Linked DNA regions of Arabidopsis thaliana. The protein of the gene in region 2 interacts with the protein of the main gene of each other region in a pairwise test. Each region holds a gene or a part of one and is shown on either strand. Other genes may lie near its edges.

Region 1 (2,959 bases), about 18 Mb from region 2:
ACGGAGGTTTTGATGGAGGGTATGGTCATCCTCCAGGTCCCATTAGGTCACATGGAGGTCCTGCTAGTAGATATGCTGGGGGATATGGGTATGGTCGTGGCAGTGTAGGCCCTGAATTTGGAGGAGGTTATAATAATTATGGGGGTGGTAGTTTAGGAGGTTACCGGAATGAACCACCCCTTGGCTATTCTAGTCGTTTTGGACCCTATGGGAGTGGGTTTGGTGGTGAGGGATATGGCCGTGGAGGAGAAGGAGCCTATTTGGGATATCCTCGTGGAGGAGGGGAAGGCTATGGGGGATATGGTGGGCCTGGTTACGGCGGTGCATATGAATCTGGTGGCCCAGGTGGCAGTTATGAAGGAGCAGGTGGTCCATATGGGAGGGGTTATAGTAGCAGTAGTCGATACCATCCGTATGCAAGGTAGGGTCGAGGTAATAGCAATCAGTTGGAGCTATAGAAGCTTCTCTCACAGGTTCCTCTAGATTGTTCCAATTGCTCTAGGTGCATTCTAGAGTTATCATGTAGCGCCAACATCAGGAAGGGTTGCTAAGGACAGGAAGAGCATCAAAAAGCTTTTATTAGTCATCTTTTAGTTGTGTGTTTACCTAATTTAAGTGTTGTCTTATCTCTATAACTTAGATTGTGTTATGTAGACTTTAGCATATTTGGGCTTGGAGTTTGTTTCTCACTGGCACAAGAATGATTTATCATTTGGTAGTCTTGTTAGATGATCAATTACTCGCTTAGCTTAGTTTTCACAATCATACGAATTAGCTTAAGAAGCTCTGCAAAATGTGCACTCATCTATTCTTTAGAGCTCAAGTTGAATGCTTTATGTGGTCTCTTGTATCTCTGTACATTTTGTTGTGCTGAACAAAGGTTTGACGGCAGTTAGTGCATGTGTAAGTAGGCATATTTTTGTCAGCTGCATACGTAGGTTCTAGCTACAAATTGGAATTGTATGTGTTTGAAAACGTAAAATCAATTATAAATGTTTTTGAAAATCATCTATACAAGCATGGTTATTTGGTTCTTGTTTCCTTATTTTTTCGGGTAAGGGCCACGGATAATTGGTTAGACATTGGTTCTAATAATGTGGGTTTTGTTATCTGTAATTTCTCGTCAAAATGATGTACTGTATCATTAAATGAATATCACTTATTGTACATGCTTTTATAAGTTAATTGAAATCCAAACTCTTTTACGTTTTAAGTGCAAGGATTGAATGATACAAACAGCAAAGAGACAATTCTAAGACAAAGTTTTCAAAAATTTATGACGACGAATGTGTCACACGTACGACACATTAAAAAGAGTTGACAAAAATACATAATACATAAAAGGTCTACCCAATCATAGTTGATAATCTTAATTAGTGATTAAAACGAAGGTGTAAAGTGTAAACATGATTTTAATCTCAATGCTTTAAGGCCGATCTTAGCAGTAGAGTAAAGTGTAAACGAACGTATTGTTTTTACACCTAGAATTTTAAGTTCTGAAATCCATTCTATCTATTTTTGAAATGCAAAAACGATTTTCCAAAATCTCCATATATTTTGTTTGGTCGATTCCAAATCTCTCTATTTAATTGACGATTTTACTGCAAAGAAAACGACAACCTCGGATATTCAGAACCGCAAAGAAAGGACACAAAGGAAAATCACTATTTTTAGATACATAATGTTTACATTAACTTCTCTTTTATAACTCTACAAATCTTTTTTTCTTTCACCAGTTTCACAATTCCGACTATTTTTTAGAGTTTTCTCTATTCGTAAAAAGGTAGAGAAAGAAACACAGAAGAAGGGGAAGGAAAAAGAAAAAACACAAATGGAAGGGAAAGAGGAAGAAGCAAAGAGGAGGATGATGATGAAGATCAAACTTAAGGAGACAGAAGCAGACGTAAGCCAAGACGACATTAAAAGACAAGAAGCTTACAACATGTCTCCACGCGTACGTCGTGGTGGTGGTGGTGGCGGTGGCTCGGTAGGTATGAGCAAGTCATCGAGCGTGAGGCAAAACTGTTTATGCGCACCAACTACACACCCTGGCTCCTTCAGGTGCCGTTACCACCGTCGTAACGCTGGACTCGGGATGTCTCGTGGCACATCCGTTCCCTCTAACCTTTCCATGTTGGCTGGTGGAGACTCTAATTCTCCCAAGTGATGATTAATATATATTATGTGTTTCTTCTCATCAATTTAAAATTCTCGTATGTGTCTGTGTATATACAAAAATGCATAAGTCGAGAAATCTCTGGATATTCACTTTGCTGTTTGCACAAATGAAATAAATTCAAATGATCGTGATTTTTGTTTGCATCGGTTAAAAGTACAAAATGCGCCAAGACCCGCCTAGACGAGAATGCTAGAGAACAAATCATAAACCATATAGTTCAGCCGGCAAGGTTGGATTTGTACAACGTCTATGAGCACCTAGTCGGCGCTACTCGGTCGTTTTAAACATTGTGTTTGGACATATGGAGAAATTGAGTTTCCAAATCTTGTCACTCAATACAAGTCACGTTAGGGAATAGGATTAAGGGAACAAATTATAGTATTACGTTAGCATTGGGAAATGGTAAAATGATATTTTCTTGATTTAGCTTTGTCTATATGTCACCAACACTAGCTCTGTAATAAATTTACATAAAGGTAAGATTAGAGAATCTAAAACAAATGTATCACAGAAGAAATTGTAAAAAATGTGAGACGAGAAAGCAATTGAGGTTCAGGTAGTGGGTCGTGTCCAACTGGTTTGAGATGTACTCGTATTCCCATAGTAAACTTTTTTGGTAGATTCGTCCCAATATGCCTACAAGAGAGATAGTCAAGTGACAATGTTTTAGCAACTGCGTACTCATTTACAAATCAAACGCTAGTGGAATGGTGAAACTTAATACCTGCCATTCCGACGGGAGATTTGCTGAGAGTTTTGTTAGATCAGGTTTTTGCTGCT
Region 2 (4,716 bases):
AATATGATTTATAAATGATGTTTATTTACTGTTGTGGTTTTGAACTCTATTTTGATGAGCTTTCTCCACTGTTTAAGATTATGTTGATTCACTTTCACAAACGCATACAATAATCATTTACATCTTTTTGTTTTGTTTTTAAAGTTAGGTATGAGAGTAAACACGACATCGCCGGATGATTTGCCAGCACAAGCCAATATCATCACATCCAATTTCCAAACTCCTTGCAACATCATGGTCATCACGGGGGACATCGATTTCAAAAGACCGATCCGGTTATTAAGAGCTTGTGGAATTACTATCTTCATGGAAAAACTTCCAAAATGCAAGACTAAACTTATAAACGCTGCTACTGCCAAAGACCCTCCTGGTTACCCTCTTGGTTACACGTTCGAATTCCAAGACATTTTGAGGATCTGATTGAGTTTTTTTGCATTGGTTTAGAGCTTTCTCCACAAATCTCTTATTTATCAGTGTTCGTTTGTTAGATTAAGGTTAAGGATTACTACTATGCTTAGTATTTGAATAAAGAACTACGAATTTAGTATAGTCGACCTTCCAAGAGAAAAATGAAATTTGTGTAAGGCAGCTTAAGTTTTAGTTTTTTTTTTTTTTTTTTGAGAAACCTCTTAATCTTTAGTACCTATAACATATTACATGTCAAATCTTCTGTCTCTTAAAAAATGAAGTATTAAAGGATCCATATCTCAGTATGCAGAAATATAAAAAGGAAAAAAAAGAAAGACTAACATAAGGAGATTATATATATATCATTTGATTGGTTAACATCACAATCAAACATATTAAAACGTGATCTAACCCAAATTGAAAAGCTACAAAAAGAAAATTAAACCGTGAAAATATCCTCCTTTTTCGTCTTAACATTTCCAAGCTGAGACAGTAACAAGTTCTTTCCTCTGCCAACACAAGACAAGTGAAGGCGACGAAGACTGTCTCTTCTCCAAGTGAAACCCTCTCATTGGATTCCTCTGCAACAAATACTCCGCTTGTGTCTCCGCCGTCTGACTCAGCGTCACAGGAGTAAACCCACATTGCCCAAATAAGCTTCTCCACGGCGGTGATCTCTCCATCCAACGGTAACGATTCGTCAACAGTTTCTGTATCGACGGTTGCACACAAAACCTCTCAATACTCGTAGCAGCTTCCGCATTATTCAGATTCCCAGAGTCGAGAGACTCGAGCAGAGATGTGTAGTACTGAAGCGCGTTAATCACACCGTTAGGGAACGGCGCGTCGTTGTTACGGTCGCAGCTTCTGTCTGAGCAAACGACGACGTTTGGTGAGATTTGCTTGAGGAAACGAAGTATCAATGGGAGGTAACCGGAGACCATGGAGCTGATTGGGAGATTCACAGCGATTGCTTCTTTCTCCGATGATCGGAATAAAGACAGTGGCCAATAAGTTGGATTCAAGAGAATCTCCATGTTTAAGAGCTCGATTTCGAAGGAGACACCTGTTTCGCCGGCGAAGCTTCTGAGATTTTCTTCAGTGAATCGGAGCTCGAATTCGTCGGAGACAGTTGAAGGAGAAGCGAAAGCTGTAATCTTTAGCGACGGAGCTGATGAAGATCTGTTTCTTTTTCCGGCGAGCTCTTGAATCAGAGACGCCCATTGACCTCCATAACCGATATCGAAATCGACAATGTGGATCCGATCAAACCCTTCGAATGACTCGAGAATCGTTTGGTTTGCTGTGAAGTTGACGAATTGAAGAAACGGTGACGTTTCTGAGAAAGCTCTGTAAGCTGCGATCCGAAAGATTAGGTTTTGAGGAGGTGAGAGAGACGGTGGTGATAATGATGAGTCTTGAAGGAGAGAGTGAAGAGCTTCTGTTATATACGAAGCTGCTCTGTGGAACGGAGGTTTAGGATTGTTGTTAGTGTCGTCGTTGTTGTTGTTAAGGTTGTGATTGAGCCGCGCCAATATCCCTTGCGCGAGAACGGGATTGTTATCTCCGCCGTTTGTGGTGAGCTCCGCCGCCGCAGAGAATAGCTGGTCGATGATTACCGCTGACTGGTCTTGGTCGTTTTGGTCTTCTCCGGCTATCTTTGGCGGTGTGAGAAACGGGTCGTGAGATTCGTGACCCGGATCCGAGAACGGGAAAACCCACTGGAGGTGTTGAGATCCGGGTTGACCCGAATTGAGCCGTTTCGCAGGAGGAGACGACGGAGGATCCGAGAAGAAACCCGGATTTGGGTTTATTGAAATCTGAAACTTTTCTTCTTCCGGTGCGTTTTGAAAAGGGAAGCCATATCCAAAGAGTGGATTAGGATTATCAATAACCGGGTCGGATCCAGAACCGATGTCGAAACCCACAAACTCCGAACCCGGATCCACTACATCGCCAGCCATGATTAATCTAAAAATACTCTGTTCTTGTCCCGGCGAGCCACCGGAGAGAACACCATCGAGATCCTCGAAACCCATTTGGTCGCATTTCCCATCGGCGCCGGAAAAAGTAGCAGCAGCAGCGCCGCCGCCGCTGGGACCACCGTGAGAAGAAGACAGCGTGGTGGTTGAAGAAGAGACGAAAGGGCTTGGACTTCTAACAGAGTCTAAAACAGACGTCGGCTCCGAGAAACCACCATTGTTGACAACAAAGCAGAGATCTTCTTCTACTCGTCCATGGAGCTTCTCTGGATTAGCCCAGATTTTGTATCCCGGAGAAGAAGAAGAATCTAAGAAACCCAGAACCCCCTTCCCTTGAAATTGCTCAAAGGGCAGGGGCATGACCAATCTTACAGAGTCAGAAAGAGAATTTAAGAGTGAGAACAAAGAAACCCAGAAAAACCCTAGATCTCAGAACTTAAAGAGGAAGACGAAGATGAAAGCTTGAAACTGAAATTGGCGCCCACATTATCTCACACTCGGTATTAATAACAATCTTTCTTCTCGTTGCTTATGTATATTGACTCTGGATGATTCCAACAACATTCCAAAGTGATGATCTTCATAAAAAATGCTCTCTTTTTTTTTTTTTTAAGTAAAGGATTTGGTTTTTGCTGTGTGTGTGGTGCCTTGTGTCTGTAGATTTACTTATCTACATCTGTACTCATTTTATATCCCCTCGTTTCTAACCCTACTCGCACTTACGGCGCGTCACTCTTACTCTCCAAGAGATCATTGATTATATAAGTTTAAGCCATGAAAATCGAAATCAAAGTGTCATTAATCGAATAAATTTAGCCTTAATCATAAATTGACTAAATTACTATGATGACAACATAATAAATAAGGAAAACACTGGATTGAGGAAAAAAAAAACAAGGAAACCAATAAATTTTATGCATATCGACAAAATTACTATTCTACATTTTTCGTAAATTTTGTTCGATTTATAAAATAAACTTGCATCTTGTAAAATAATTTGTTATTTAGTGAAATAGCAATTGGGTGATTTAATATATATGTGCAGTAACATGTTTTATATTAAATAGTATGATAGTAAAAATATACTTCATTATATATGTATAAAAACTAAGTCAAGGGTCAAATGAAAATGAACCAAAAGATTTTTGTTCTTTTTTCTTCAAACCAATAGATTTGTTTACTTAAAGGATGTGTCAAATGTTTGACAAAAAAAAAAGGATGTGTCAAATTTATTTTTGAAATTACAGGTAAAAAACATTTTGAGAGCGAAATCGTAAAAATACTTAAAATAGTCAAAATTATTTACTTATTTATTAAGAATATGGGATCATATAGTGTATAATTCATTAGATCAAACTAAATAAGTAATAGGAGTATGAAGAAAAGAAAGAAAATAAATTGAATTGTCGAAACCCAAAAACCTAAAAGAGTCAGTTATTAGTTGATTGTCTTACAGTAAGTAATTCAATAGTCCAGAACTGTTGAGGCGCGTTAGATAACGATCAATCTGAAAGACAGTACTATTAAAAAAATCAAAAACATATACCGAGGTTTCAGAGCAAAAAGCGAATTTGATACAGATGGCTTTATTGTTAATCATTGTTTTCCATAATTACCCTTGCTTTCTATTAACACACTCTGTTTTTTTTTTTTATCTAACGGTTGAAATTGCATGAACTCTGGAGAAGATCTCATGGCTCTAGTCTAGATTTTTTATAAACTAACTAATAAATGACATATTGACTATAAAATCTTGCATTTGCTAATCAAGTTTAATTTTGAACGACAAGTAGACACGGTCAAAACTAAAATTATGACAAATCTTTAGCCTATGTTAGTTGATGTTTACACGTGTTTGCGATAATCAAATCGTTTTATTCCACCATTCTTTTCTAAAATCATCTATATCATTTCTTCTTCTTTTTTTCACTTCTTTGACAAACTTGAAATACTTAAGTGGCCGTTTATTGGTGGCGGTAATAGAATAGAGGATACCAAAAGGAGATTAAAAAGAAAAGAGGTGGAGCTGGATTGCGAAGACAAGTTGGAACTTTTGGTAGTTTGTGTGTGAATGGAAGGGAGACATGGCTTATGTGATTGCCCTAAACATATTTCTATTTTTTAAGCCAAAATAATATAAAAACAAAAATCTTTGTAATTGGACATTGTAATAATGGGAGACATGTTTTTTTTCCTCCAAGACAAACAAGAAACCTCCATGTGAATTTCCACCACCTTGTAATATGTCTAACAACATGTATTCTATTAAACTAGTATTTCTTTCTGCTTTGTTGTTATATTTTAGGATTAAAAAATGACCAATTTG
Region 3 (6,340 bases), on a different chromosome or scaffold from region 2:
TGTAATATATTTATATGCCACTAAACTTAAAATAGATGTATATTTTGTCCTTCATATAAGCATATAACAGTCTTAAAAATAAGTGGAACACCTTCTTCTTTTTCATGTCTTATTTTGGAACCTCTTTCTTAACTTTGTAACGAAGGACACCACGATGGAACCTGGGCTGCTTCGAGTGCAGGTGCAGCACCGTAGATGAAACTTTTTAAGTTTGTATGATGTAAAAACAAAATGGGAAACGATTCAAAGAACATGTTATAATGCGAAATAGGTAGATGAGGCCAAAGATTGTTGTTATGTAAAAAGCAAGTCATTGCATCATCATACTTATCATGTGGTCCAACTTATGCCGATTACGAATGGAAGTTAAATTTAAAATAAATTATTAAATAGAACCTAACGAAACTATTTTATATTATAGGTGTATTAGGTTGAATATGGACCTGTTTTAGAATAACGCCCCTTTCTTTCTAGTAGAGTTCAGTCTTCTTTGGAGTTGGTATCGGATCAAATTTTCGTTTAAAAACAATAATGATGTAGCTTAATTCAAATTGTAGTAAATTACTTTCAATTTAATTTTTGTTTTGGTTTTCAATTACTTAGGTTCCGTCTGGATTTGATTTCAATTTTCACAATATATAAAGATAACAGAAATATTTAAAAGCAAATATTGAAGAGTATATGATACTAATTACTAAACACTATGAAGAAATTTAAGACAAACTTACTTTAGTTTACACAAATTGGATTTTCCCTTATGGCCTAAGATAGGTTTCCATTACAGCTGTACAAATACAACCTACACCTGGTCACCTGCCTCTTCCATGATGATGATTTCTCCGACCGAGCGCATCAAATCGTTTTTCAACTGGCTTCATGAGCTCTCAAACATTTTATTCTCTCCCAGAATAGTTTCTTACTCACTGTCTCCGAGTTATTTGAATCCCATGTTGACTCTCAAAATCTTTCCTCATAAATCAATTGCACAAAAATAAGAATCGAACTTGGGCGTCTGTGAAAGAAACCTGTGCATTGCTAAGCCTTTTGAAGACTCATCTCAGCTCAAGCTTGGCTCTGGATTTCTGCAAAGAATGACGCTATCCATTAACATGTATACATATATCAAGCTGCAGCAAAAGGTCATTGATCACATAGCAAAGAGTAGCTAAAAATGATATGTATGAATCACATAACAAGATTACACATCCGGGTGTAAGAATTATACAAAGGTTGGGGGAAATCTTTGAATGAAAAGCACACATACACTTTCATGTCTTGTGTGTGTAAACACAAATGCTTCAACCAACGCCTTCTTGTCCACACACACTTCAGAGAATTTACATAGAAACCATTGCATCTTTCTTCCAGCCAAAGGTGGAGGAGATACAAAGGTGTTAGTGACACCAAGTTCTGATTTCTGCTGTAGTTTCAGAGGTGAATTAAGGGCACGGAGTCACATTAACAGCGCATCATCTCACTCACCATTTCAGGAAAAAGCTACATTTTCTTTGCATCATTTCTCTGGAGACATGAATGACGAAGTCCAACCAGTTCTATTCCCACTCCCATATCCAGAATTTGAGGTTTCGGGTCCGACATTTCTTTTTGAGGTACCCGCAGGAGATAATGAAGTGGATGGCATGTTCATCTGCAATGGGTTTTCAGTAAAATAACAGTCAAGGGAACTCATCTCGAAGATCAATATATTGTTTCATTAATTCATGACAATTGACAAAGCGATACTGGTAAAATCAGTTTTCAGGGAACCATGAAGTGTTCTGAGAGTAATACTATACATGACATGCTAACACAAGCAACGAGTTTGCAGAATAAAACGGTTCTTTGGAAGAGGCAAATGCAGAAATACGTACATTCTTGTGGACAGGGTGATCAAACCCCGGAGTCCTCCCTGCAGCAGTATTATTATTTATCTGTGGGCTTGGACCAATGGCATTAGCCGATCTGACGCGTTCAGAGGCCTCGGCTTCATAAGAAATATTTGGTCCTCCTGCCAAACAGAGCGTCAGAAAACAGAGATTTCAAAATAAACAATTGCAACAACAAGCTATTAATTAGAGCTAACCCCGATGATTGCTTGTGTCCACTGGCATTGCACGAGGATTGCTAGACCCAGGAACTGCCTGCAGTAGAAATGACAATACTTTTTGTTAGTAACAAGAAAGGTGACACAGCAGCAAATTAAGATTGAGAAAACATTGAAAACTATACCTGAGACTGATTTCTAGATTTCTGTGCTTGTTGATACTTTATGATAGTCCAGTCAAATATATAGTCGAACTCATATCCTGCAAAAGAGAACATATAATAGTGAGGTAGGTAGATGATGCCGGTGAACCTTATCAGCTGAGTGAACTATGAATGATGAAGAGATGTCTTTATCCAAAGTACCTACCTTCCCGCGAAAATAAATCACGAAAAAGCCGCTTCAAGAATCCATAATCTGGGCGCTGATCAAATGTCAGTGTATGGCAGTAATGAAAATATGATGCAAACTCCACAGGGTGATTTTTGCATAGCACCTGCAATGGGATATCGATATATACTTAGTCGAATGAGGATTAACAAAAAAAGAATCAATCACACAATAGGGAAACATACCTCAATGGGAGTTGATATCTTCTTCTCACAGATTTTATCATACTTTTGCTTCTTGTCAACAGCCTTAAGACCCTGCCATGGAAGACTAGAAAAGGACGTTCATGAAATGAGGAACACAAAAAACAGTTAAGTAAATCTCTAAAAACAAGGAATAGAAATACCCTGCGAAATAACATAATGTTAACTAGTTTCTTTCAAAAAGACAACACACCTTCCTCTTAGGAAATACAGAAGCACATATCCCAGCGATTCTAGATCATCCCGTCGACTTTGCTCTGTGAAGAGAACCCAAAATATGAGCAAAAGCGATTTACTTTTACATAAGGATAAAGAATGCCAGCATTTCTTACCAATTCCAAGATGTGTATTGCAACTTGCATATCGTGCAGTTCCTGTTAAATTCTTGTTTTCCCTGAATATAGCCGAATAAAGGAAATAAGTTGTATAATGATTAACGTGACCGTAAAACTTAAAAACAGATAGATCATTTACAATCTGTATATTGAACCAAGGCCACAATACCTGTAAGGGATGTGGCGGTTGGTGTTGGCATCCCGATATCTTTTGGCAAGTCCAAAGTCAATTAGATAAACCTGAAAAATGAGACTTATCAATCATACCATACTCTACTTATGGCATCTGATGAAGATAAGAAGTTGCAGAAATATACCTGATTTGCTTTCCGACCTAGGCCCATGAGGAAGTTATCGGGTTTAATATCTCTATGCAGATATCCTTTCGAATGTACAAATTCTATTCTTGTTAGCTGTAACAGCGGGATAAGAAAATCGGAAGCACATTAGATAATCAATGTATAAGTCAACAGATATTATAAATAGCCTAATGAATAGTTGAAAGTCATGCCATACCATTTGATCAGCCAACATCAAGACTGTCTTTGGTGAGAATTTCCTCCCACAGTAGACGAAAAGATCTTCGAGACTTGGACCGAGCAAATCCATCACTAAAGCATTCTCTGTTCCATCAACTCCAAACCATTTTATGCGCGGAATTCCACCTGACACATAACATAAAAATTAGTATTGTACTGCTAATGAATCCCTCCAATGTCCAACAACTGAGAAAAGAGAGGAAAGAGAATCATACTTCCTCCTTCAAGAATTCTATATAGCTTAGCTTCATAGAGAAGTTGAGGATGCTTTGTTTTACTGTTCTCCTGCAAGAGAAAATGATTGAATTAAAAACAAGTGTTAGCTTGAAGAATATATTGCAGCTAAAAAGCACCGAGTTTAAAACCTTGCTCAATTTTAGAGTAAAGCAATTCAAACAAAATCAATTAAGAGACATAGCAGATCCAAATCAAATCTCCAGATTGGATGGATTCAATTCGTCTCAAGGCAAATTGAGCTGGGACTTACGATCTTAACAGCTACGATCTCGAAGGTATCGACGTGCGTAGCTGCGAAAACAACAAACAGAAGAGAAGAGCGTCAATTTCAAATAAAAAAGCAAACTCGGAAAACCAAAGGGACAAGAACAGAGGAGAACACAAAACCTAGAAAAATCTCTCCGAACGAACCACCGCCGATCTTCCGTCCGAGCTTGTACTTGCCGCCGATGATGCGTTCCATGGCAGCTCCAATCAGAACCGAATCTGGATCAAGCGCAAGGATAGAGATAAGGATTTAGGGTTGTTGTTTAGAAGATTGAAATTAGAGGAACTTAAAAACATATATTATTATTTTTGTTTGACTGACATCGGTGGTAGTGACATGGACCCAGGCTTGTTTGAGCCGTAGTAGTGATCCTTCAAAAAAAAATTTGTACACCTAACTACTGCACCATTTTGGGTCCGCCAATCTTTTTTTACCTTATAAACAAACACGAGGGTATTTACGTGATTTTGTAATGTCACGCTGGCACGGTGGATGATTTGATGATTTCCGTTTTTGGGGTCTGCAAAATGATGAAGGTTCGAAAATTTAATGGGTTGGCTGATTTTCGAGTCATAAACTATTTCGATTCTTAGTTTTCACTCCCGGATTTTTGGGCCCTTAAATTTCCACCATCAATTTTCATATTCCTCAAAATTACATCATCTACTTTCGAATTCATGATTAAACATACATTTTCAATTGAACCATTCATTTAACCGGGATTAACCACAAATCCGCGTTTACTGTACCGCGATTGTGATTAACCCGACTAATACCCAGACCCGTTAAGAAAACGACGTCGTTTTCATTCTTCTTCTTTAACTCTCAAATCGATTTGGTAGTCCTCTTCTTTTGACTTTCATCTCTGTCTCCATCGTCTTCTAGATTGACGTCTCCATCAGACGCTATGTCACCATCGTCTTCTCTATTTTCCTCTCCATCAGAAGCTCTGTCTCCATCTATCCCGACGTCCTCTCCCTCGATTCTGGTGGCTTCGTCCTCCTCGACTCCGCTATCACCACTATCACTTCCATCGTCGGCTTCAATGTCACTCTCTGGAGGTTCGAAATCGGGGTCATCTGGATCGCTTTGGTAAATCAATCTTTCCTCCCACCAATTCTTCATTTCTCCCTATTCGAAACCCAAATCGAGACCCAAAAATTCGAACCGAAGAAGAAAACCCCAAATCCCCTTTTGTCTTTCTCTCTCAAGAACCCTAATTTCACAGTGTCGAGATTAAAGAAGAACGACTAAATCGATTTGAGAGTTAAAGAAGAAGAATGAAAACGACGTCGTTTTCTTTCTCTTTTTGATGAGTTAAACGAAATGAAAACGACGTCGTTTTCTTAACGGGTCTGGGTATTAGTTGGGTTAATCGCAATCGCGGTACAGTAAACGCGGATTTGTGGTTAATCCCGGTTAAATGAATGGTTCAATTGGAAATGTATGTTTAAGCATGAATCCAAAAATAGATGATGTAATTTTGGGAATATGAAAGTTGATGGTGGAAATTTAAAGGCCCAAAAGTCCGGGTGTGAAAGCTGAGAATCGAAATAGTTTATGGCTCGAAAATCAGCCAACCCAAATTTAATCCACTAACTAGTTCTCTACCAAATCGATCAATTCTAGGTGTTTGTATTTCAATATTGAGACTACAATTTTATACGTTTTTTTTTTTTAATAATAGCAATTGAAAATGCATGTTTGGATCAAGTCAAGCTTTTTGATATAATTTTTTTCAATGCACAAAATCGAGTAAGAAAAATCAAACACAGAATACCATTAAACTGAATAGGAAATTCAGAGAAAAAAAAAGGGGGAAGTGTTTCTCGGAGCATTCCAGAAGCTAGCCATAGCTTATCCTTTTACGTTCTCGTCAGCTGCACATTAGCTTGATGGTGACATGTCCCTGCCACAAGCAACTCTTGACTCAAGCCTTTGAAGGCATCTCTGCTGAAGCTGCTCATGCTTTGCTCTTGATTTTCTGCAAACAATGTTGATGACACAGCAAACCCAGGTTATGCCCCAACACAGGGAACTACGTACAGAAATACGAACAAAGTTTTATAGAAGAAAACTTGGGAGAATGAATCACAAGAACCAAATTACACGCCCGGTTGCAAGATTTTATACAAAGGTTGAAGTCAGTCATTTGTGAGAATCTTGAAGGAAAGCAAACATAATCTTCATGCCTTTTGTCAAACAGTAAGCTGTTCATGGAAAAACTCCATTCAGATCTTCAACCTCAGTCTAGAGCTTTTCACTGCAGAAATCACAGTTTAGACCCAAAGGCACACATAATCTTGCTCAGCAGATCAGATGAA

What was found.
Region 1: the proteins of HAM2 (region 2) and AT3G13227 interact in a two-hybrid assay, tested with the Arabidopsis thaliana proteins (one large-scale study listed by BioGRID).
Region 3: the proteins of HAM2 (region 2) and ckl3 interact in a two-hybrid assay, tested with the Arabidopsis thaliana proteins (one large-scale study listed by BioGRID).

The regions. Positions count from the first base shown.
Region 1 is NC_003074.8:4,256,197-4,259,155, forward strand, and holds AT3G13227 (serine-rich protein-like protein), read left to right. Parts: upstream 1-1,685; 5' UTR 1,686-1,831; coding exon 1,832-2,167; 3' UTR 2,168-2,452; downstream 2,453-2,959. Other genes in the region: AT3G13224 (RNA-binding (RRM/RBD/RNP motifs) family protein), read left to right, coding at 1-425; AT3G13225 (WW domain-containing protein), read right to left, coding at 2,732-2,815, 2,904-2,959.
Region 2 is NC_003074.8:22,409,618-22,414,333, forward strand, and holds HAM2 (GRAS family transcription factor), read right to left. Parts: upstream 3,047-4,716; 5' UTR 2,751-3,046; coding exon 879-2,750; 3' UTR 623-878; downstream 1-622.
Region 3 is NC_003075.7:14,249,222-14,255,561, reverse strand, and holds ckl3 (casein kinase I-like 3), read right to left. Parts: upstream 4,428-6,340; 5' UTR 4,212-4,427; coding exon 4,136-4,211; intron 4,040-4,135; coding exon 3,999-4,039; intron 3,797-3,998; coding exon 3,727-3,796; intron 3,638-3,726; coding exon 3,489-3,637; intron 3,386-3,488; coding exon 3,290-3,385; intron 3,213-3,289; coding exon 3,142-3,212; intron 3,032-3,141; coding exon 2,970-3,031; intron 2,895-2,969; coding exon 2,831-2,894; intron 2,705-2,830; coding exon 2,620-2,704; intron 2,541-2,619; coding exon 2,414-2,540; intron 2,307-2,413; coding exon 2,230-2,306; intron 2,142-2,229; coding exon 2,084-2,141; intron 2,009-2,083; coding exon 1,872-2,008; intron 1,649-1,871; coding exon 1,514-1,648; 3' UTR 616-1,513; downstream 1-615. Other genes in the region: AT4G28870 (mutator transposase MUDRA protein), read right to left, coding at 4,842-5,141. UniProt on the Arabidopsis thaliana protein: Protein kinase involved in blue light responses (e.g. hypocotyl elongation and flowering) by phosphorylating CRY2 to reduce its stability.